Linked DNA regions of Sus scrofa. The protein of the gene in region 1 purifies or fractionates together with the protein of each later gene. This does not show direct contact. Links are inferred from orthologs where the notes say so. Each region holds a gene or a part of one and is shown in the gene's direction. Other genes may lie near its edges.

What was found.
Region 2: the proteins of OBSL1 (region 1) and CAMKK2 purify together in Homo sapiens (affinity purification with mass spectrometry; 4 studies listed by BioGRID and IntAct, with this or other methods). This does not show direct contact. The link is inferred for Sus scrofa from reciprocal best matches to the Homo sapiens genes OBSL1 and CAMKK2.

The regions. Positions count from the first base shown.
Region 1 is NC_010457.5:121,578,540-121,582,447, reverse strand, and holds the start of OBSL1 (obscurin-like protein 1), read left to right. Parts: upstream 1-1,133; 5' UTR 1,134-1,416; coding exon 1,417-2,428; intron 2,429-3,908. Other genes in the region: INHA (inhibin alpha chain), read right to left, coding at 312-498. UniProt on the Homo sapiens protein: Core component of the 3M complex, a complex required to regulate microtubule dynamics and genome integrity. It is unclear how the 3M complex regulates microtubules, it could act by controlling the level of a microtubule stabilizer.
Region 2 is NC_010456.5:31,348,647-31,352,454, forward strand, and holds part of CAMKK2 (calcium/calmodulin-dependent protein kinase kinase 2), read left to right. Parts: intron 1-819; coding exon 820-841; intron 842-968; coding exon 969-1,057; intron 1,058-2,292; coding exon 2,293-2,492; intron 2,493-3,379; coding exon 3,380-3,433; intron 3,434-3,808. UniProt on the Homo sapiens protein: Calcium/calmodulin-dependent protein kinase belonging to a proposed calcium-triggered signaling cascade involved in a number of cellular processes. Isoform 1, isoform 2 and isoform 3 phosphorylate CAMK1 and CAMK4. Isoform 3 phosphorylates CAMK1D.

The DNA.
Region 1 (3,908 bases):
CAAGGTTCAGTAACTGGTCCATGGTTACAAAGCCAGTTGAGTGGCAGGTCTGGGATTCAAATCCAGACAGGCCTGGCTCCCAAGCCCATGGTATGCCACACTGTTTCTCAAAGTCAAGGTGCCAGTTCCCCACCCTCATTACCTGTAGCCGGGAAAAGGATGGCCTGGGAGACATCCTCCTCCTCGGGCTCAGAGCCCCTGCGCATGAAGCCCCCCACAGCATGTCTTCGGGGCAGACGCCTGACTCCAGGATCCCCACCTTCCCCAGTCACTGCCGGGGGTCCCAAGGCATCCAGGAACAGAGCCCTCACCTTGGCCAGGACAAGCTCCCGGTCCAGCTCCGGGCCCTGGCAGCCATGCCCACTCCGTGGGGCCAACAGCAAGAGGAGCAGCTGAGGCCACATAGCTCACCTGGCCCTGCCAACGGTGAACCCACACCCAGCCCTGTGCCCCTTCTGTCAGGGTCTGCCCAGGGCCTCCCCAATCTCCCCTCCCCATCCCACCAGCCGCCCTCTTCTACCTTTCTCACCCCAGTCTTCCCAGCCCTTCCCACGCCCTGCAGTCCGAGTTGCCCCTGCCCATGGCATTGAGACCTCCTATCTCTGACGCAGATGTCTGTGGCCCTGAGCCTTATCTCCCACTCCCGCCAGGAATGTGGGGGTGGGGGGGGCGGGTGAGGCTTTTCACCCCGAGTGACCTGACCCACACACACAACTCCCTGCCCCCCCCCCCAACACACACACAAAGTTACAACCCAGCATCCAGCACAGAGGTGACATCAGGTGGGACAGGAGTCTGGAAGCTGGGGTCTGCCAATTCCTAACAAAGTTATTTGTCAGGAAGACAGGACAAGCCAGGCCCTCGGACCTTCAGGGTCTCCTTTCAACCAAGCAGCTGCTGGGCCAGTCCTGGGGGGAAGGGCTGGGGCATGAGCTAGAACTGGGGGTAGGGTGGGGGGCAGGTGGTCCCCCCTGCTCTATACTTAGCCTGGAGGAGCCTGTCTGGGCTCTTGTCCTCCAGCTGTGTCATCAGAGAATATTTTTGGGATTGGCAGCTGCAGGCGCCTCTGCCACTCAGGCCCAAGCCTGGCGGGCGGTTGGGGACCTGGCGGCTGGAGGTGGGAGGGAGGAGGGGAAGGGGCCCTGGCTGTGGGAGGGGACTGGGAAGACTGGCTCTCCGGAGCAGGAAGCCAGGCCGCAGGCAAAGGAGGCTGCGGGGCCCCTCGCTGGAGAGGCAAACAGGAAGGACTGCCCCCTGAGCCCTGGGTCCCCGGCCCGGGAATCGCCGCCACCGCAGAGCCGCAGCTCCCGGCCGAGGGTAAGGAGACGAGCCGGGAGCGGGCGGCCAGGGGAGAGTTCCGCGGGCCCCGTCACCCGGTCCCAGGCGAGCCCCGCCTCCCGGGCTCCCGCGGCCGCGATGAAGGCGGGCTCGGGGGATCAGGGGAGCCCCCCGTGCTTCCTGCGCTTCCCGCGGCCCGTGCGGGTGCTAAGCGGCGCGGAGGCCGAGCTCAAGTGCGTGGTGCTGGGGGAGCCGCCGCCCACTGTCGTGTGGGAGAAGGGCGGGCAGCCCCTGGCGGCCTCGGAGCGCCTGAGCTTCCCGGCGGACGGCGCCGAGCACGGCCTGCTGCTGAGCGGCGCGCTGCCCACCGACGCGGGGGTTTACGTGTGCCGCGCCCGCAACGCGGCTGGAGAGGCCTATGCAGCGGCTGCCGTCACCGTGCTGGAGCCGCCGGCTCCCGAGCCCGAGCCCCAGCCCGCCGAGCGCCCGCTGCCGCCGCCCGGGGCCGGAGAGGGCGCCCCGGTGTTCCTGACGGGGCCCCGGTCCCAGTGGGTGCTGCGGGGGGCGGAGGTGGTGCTGGAATGCCAGGTGGGGGGCCTCCCCGAGCCCACGCTGTACTGGGAGAAAGACGGGATGGCGTTGGACGAAGTGTGGGACAGCAGCCACTTCGCGCTCGAGCCGGGCCGCACCGAGGGCCGCCCAGGAGCGAGCCTGGCGCTGCGCATCCTGGCGGTGCGGCTGCCGGACTCGGGCGTCTACGTGTGCCACGCCCGCAACGCGCACGGCCACGCGCGGGCCGGCGCGCTGCTGCAGGTGCACCAGCCCCCCGAGAGCCCGCCCGAGGACCCCGACGAGGTCCCCAAGCCCGTGGTGGAGCCACTCAAGTGTGCGCCCAAGACCTTCTGGGTAAACGAGGGCAAGCACGCCAAGTTCCGCTGCTACGTGATGGGCAAGCCTGAGCCCGAGATCGAATGGCACTGGGAGGGCCGCCCGCTGCTCCCCGACCGCCGTCGCCTCATGTACCGCGACCGCGGTGGCGGCTTCGTGCTCAAGGTGCTCTACTGCCAGGCCAAGGACCGCGGCCTCTACGTGTGCGCCGCTCGCAACTCGGCGGGCCAGACGCTCAGTGCTGTGCAGCTGCACGTCAAAGGTACCGCGGCGCCCCCGGGCGGCCAGAGCCCTGGGGAGGGACCTCCAGCGTCCTCCCAGACCCTCCCCACTCCAACCCCACTCACTGCCCAGAAGATGGCGGGGCTAAGGAAGGTCGAATATTAAAATGCCATTTCCCACCCACCTCCCAGCCCCCAGGGATTCCGATCTAATTGGCCTCCAAGTCCTCCGAGAACATCTTAGCAGCCCCCCCCCCCAAGATTGTGAAGCAGAAAGTGGAAAACCACTCTTTAATAAAGGACTTCAAGGAATGATAGATGTACAGACCCAGAGGGGCCCAGAACTCTTGTAGTCCAGTGGTTTTCAACCTCTTTGTTATTTTCACCGATCCCCCAATGGAAATCCTATCTGGGGCCCCACCATCTAAGGCAGATGAAAGGATCGGTTTATTTTATTTTGCTTTTTAGGGCCACACCCGCGGCATATGGAGGTTCCCAGGCTAGGAGTCAAATCAGAGCTGTAGCTGCCAACCTATGCCACAACCACAGCCACATCAGACCCGAGGGGTGTCTTCGACCTATACCACAGCTCAGGGCAAGGCCAGATCCTTAACCCACTGAGCAAGGTCAGGGATCGAACCTGCATCCTCATGGATGCTAGTCAGATTCGTTTCCACTGAGCCAGGAAGTAATCTCTGAAAGGATCATTTTATAGGTGTAGATTTTTCAGTCCAAATGTAGAACATGTATTTACAAAACGAACCTGTGAGAACAAGGGGTCTTTTTTATTGAATATACAGTTTAACGTCCATAACCAGGTCTAGTCTGTGAGCCCTGTGGGGAAGGCCTAGCTGTAGGCCTCACATTGAGAAACTGCTGATTTACAACAAAGGACAACTTGAGGGAGGAAAAAAAAAAAAATGCCCTGCAGTTTTTGACTATTCTTTCATTAGACTGCTCTCCAGTTTTGCAAGACAAGGAAAGTGAAGGAGAGGAAATTTATATTTCAAAATTGAGTCCCCATCAGTGTCTAATTTAATGCTTACATTGCGCATAAATAGAAAATTCAGGAGGGGGAAAAAAAAAACCTCTCCCCACTCACAGTGAAAGTTAAAGCTCTCCATAAGTTAAACCTCTCCAACTCACAACATTATACCTTCACTAGCTATTACCCAAGGTTTCCCTCAGAGGAAAAAAGTTGGCACATCCCCTGGGTCCTGCCTGGCACACAGTCAGGCATGCAGCACCTGTGCTGCCGTGGTGGCCTCTCAGGTACAGTCAGTGTGCACAAACTAACCCCCTGGACAGAAAATAGCCCACGGTGAAAGCAGAGCTTCCAGAGCCACCCAGCAAGACAGTCATGCTCCCCCAGCAGCCCACCTGAATCCACTGGCCATTCCTATTGTCATGCTTTTTCTTTGTTTGGATTTGTTTGTTTGTTTGTTTTGGGGGCCGTACCTGTAGCATATGGAAGTTCCCAGACTAGGGGTTGAATTGGAGCTGCAGCTGCCGGCCTACACC
Region 2 (3,808 bases), on another chromosome or scaffold:
GTAACTGGAACTTGTTCTTGCTGTTTTTTGAATTAAAATTTTGATAGGGTTCAGAAGACCCCTGGGGCTCCTTTTTTGTGCCCTTGCAATTCGATGTTAAGGTTGTGTCCCCTTAGACCTGTTCTTTGGCATAAAGTGGCTCAGGACCTGGGTGTGACTGAGAGAATGTAGTTTATTTTTATTTTTTTAGGGCCATACCTGAAGCATATGGGAGTTCCCAGGCTAGGGGTCCAGTCAGAGCTGCTGGTGCTGGCCTACACCACAGCCATAGCAATGCAGGATCCGAGCTGTGTCTGCGACCTACACCACAACTCATGGCAACGCCGGATCCTTAACCCACTGAGCAAGGCTGAGGATTGAACCCGCATCTTCATTGATATTAGCTGGGTTCATTACTGCTGAGCTACAGTGGGAGCTCCTGAGAGAATGTAGTTTAGCATCAGTCATTTCTCTGGAGCCCTCAGGTAGGAGAGGAAAGATGAAAGGAGCCAGGAGCAGTCCAGAGTCCACTATCTCCGGTTCCCCTGCTTTGTGTTCTCTGGCGTGGGGTCCTTCCCTGTTTTGAGGACTAGAAGTACAGCCAGCCTCGTATAGTCCCAGTGACACCAGAAATCTCTGATCCCTAGCCACCAGATGGGAATTTAGAAAAGCGGAACCTTCAGTAGCTCTGGTTCAGTGAGCTATTTCTCTCCCCAGCCCCAGTAGTAGATTCAGTGCTTCTCGATGTTTCTAGGGGTAGGAGGGGCTTGGGGAGCAGGGGGAGGAAGATGGATTTCCAGTTTCCCAATGTAACCACTCACTCCCTTCTCTATCCTACAGTGTTTGAACTGGTCAACCAAGGGTGAGTGTCCCCATTCCCAGCAGGTAGGCTGCCTGAAGCTTCTGAGCTGCTAAGCTGCATGAGGTGGTGCAAGAGGGCAAAGGCCCGCGCGTCTGGTTTGCACTTCATGCATGTGTTGACTTTTCAGGCCTGTGATGGAAGTGCCCACCCTCAAACCACTCTCTGAAGACCAGGCTCGATTCTACTTCCAGGATCTGATTAAAGGCATCGAGTACTGTAAGCAGGGCCTGCGGGAGGACCCTCACCCAGGGGGGTGGTGAGCATGCCCTGGTGGTGGATGGGAAGTGGAGGGTTTCCTACTTCCCTCCTGGAGCCCAGGGATGTGGGCAGGAAACAGAATTGTATGAGATGCAGAGTCACCGAAGGTTGCAGATAGCTCTCCTGGGGCCACACTATGAGCAGAAACCCTTCTGCCACACAGAATAATGAAGAGAAATAGTGATAGTGACCATCCATCCAGCACTTTCTTATGTGTACCAGGCACTGTTAGGGACTCTCACTTGCATCATTCTTTATTCCCAGCAACCCTGGGATCCTGCTGACCTCCTGGAATCTTCATTCCTTGTATGTAAAGTACGAGGTCAAGGACTGAACCTGCGTCCTCATGGATAGCCACAGTGGGAACTCCTGAGAGGATGTAGTTTATTTTTATTTAGTATAAATAAAATAAAAGAGATACTTTAGATAGCATGAAGTATCTCTCACCAGGGCTGAAGTCAGCCCGGACATCAGTAGTTCTGATTGGCAGGTGTACTTTCTACTTCCGGTTGTTAAACATTTTGACTCATACTCTTTGCCTGTTACATAGGATTGTTGTGAGATTGGAATGAGGTGAATGGGAGAGGCCCCTGACTGCGCATTCAGCAAAGGCAGCTGTGGCTTCTGTTACCAACATCATCATTTCATTGTCACCACTGCCACTACCACCCCAGAAACGCAGTTGGGTCTTCCAGACCATAGGGTCATCCTCTCCCATGGGCTGACGTACAGTGGGGAACAGTTAGCCAAGTCTCCAGTCCTGTTCTGTGCTTCGCACCTCAAATTGACCTGCTCTAGTCACTGTTGGTTTGGTGAACAGGTTGAGTAGTGGCATTAATAAATGAAAATATGTTTGATTATTACAAGTCTTGATACTTCTAGTTGGGAGTCAAGCTGAACAACAACTTTCTCATGCACATGTGACTTAGACTATAGCAGGTGGTTACCAGTTGCTCTGGGCAGTCTCGTGTCTCACCCCTTCCTTCAGACAACAAGACAGCTTCTTTTGAGACACTCCTCTTGTCTTACAGAGTGTTCAGCAGGTTTGGGAGGGGAAGGCTGGGAAGAGCCTGGGGCCTCAGGAGAACAGTGAGGTTCCTGCCTGTGTCTCTGGGCCATGTGGGCTACGTGGAGCTCCTCACATTGTTTTTCTGGCCCCTGTCTCTCCCATCCTGTGTTGATGCTGCCCCCAGTACACTACCAGAAGATCATCCACCGGGACATCAAACCTTCCAACCTGCTGGTGGGAGAAGATGGGCACATCAAGATTGCGGACTTTGGTGTGAGCAACGAGTTCAAGGGCAGTGATGCCCTCCTCTCTAACACCGTGGGCACACCCGCCTTCATGGCGCCCGAGTCACTCTCAGAGACCCGGAAGATCTTCTCTGGGAAGGTAGGTTTGGACCTGCCTGAGATGCAGAGTTCTACCTGTGTTAGGGTCCTTTCCATTTTAAGTGGCAAATACCCAGCTCACTGGCTTTAAACAGTGAATCCATCAGATCATATGGATGAGGAGTGGGGTGCGTTTGGCTTCAGGCTTGGCTAGACACAGGGATTCAAATAGGAATCCATCTTGCCATCTCTCAGCTCTGTTTTCTGGAATTCCTCCTCAGGTGAATGGGTCATCAGCAGCTCCAGGCTACTTTCTATCAGTTTACCAGCCTCAGTAGAAAGAGCATTGTTTGGGAGTTCCCGTCATGGCGCAGTGGTTAACGAATCTGACTAGGAACCATGAGATTGTGGGCCGACTAGGAACCATGAGGTTGTGGGTTCGGTCCCTGCCCTTGCTCAGTGGGTTAACGATCCGGCGTTGCCGTGAGCTGTGGTGTAGGTTGCAGACACGGCTTGGATCCCGTGTTGCTGTGGCTCTGGCGTAGGCCGGTGGCTACAGCTCCGATTAGACCCCTAGCCTGGGAACCTCCATATGCCGAGGGAGCGGCCCAAGCAAAAAAAAAAAAAAAAAAGAACATTTTTCTTTCTGAAGAGCTCCAGCAAAAATCCTGGGGTTGGCTCTGATTGGCCTAGCATGGGCCATATGCTCATCCTTGAGCCAATCACTGTGCCTAGGGGAAGTGTTGCTCTCATTGGCCAGGCCTGGGTCATGTGCCTAACTAGAGGCTGGGGATTGAGGGGCAGGAACAGCTATGCCCCTGTTCTGAGCAGTCAAGAAGAGGTGGTTCCCCAAAGGAGAGCTGGGGGATTGGATGCTGGGCAGTAAAAGCTGTAGACACCTTTTACTGCTCCTCATCCCCTCACACAGAACTCTTTTTTTTCTTGCAGGCATTGGATGTTTGGGCCATGGGTGTGACACTGTACTGCTTTGTGTTTGGCCAGGTAACAGGCTGGGATATCTTGTATCCTGGGGGTTGTGGATGGGCCCCCTTGGATTAATAGTTACCTCTGCAGTTAGATAGTGCTTATTCACTTAAAAGTTATTTCATTTTATTTCCACAGTTAGATCTGAATATGAAAAATTATGCCTTCCCAAATGCACATAGCTCTATGTGATAGTCATATCTGTTGACAAAATGAACAGAGGATTAAAACAGAAGGATTGGCAGAGGCTCTAGTTTATAAATTCAGTAGTTGATGAATTTAGGGCAAGAAAAGCAAATGTGCTACCTCTGCCCACTCCTAAACCAGAAACAGGCATGCCTAATCAATAACTACTCTTTTCTCCTGAGCCCAGTTTTGCTTTGATGTTCTTCT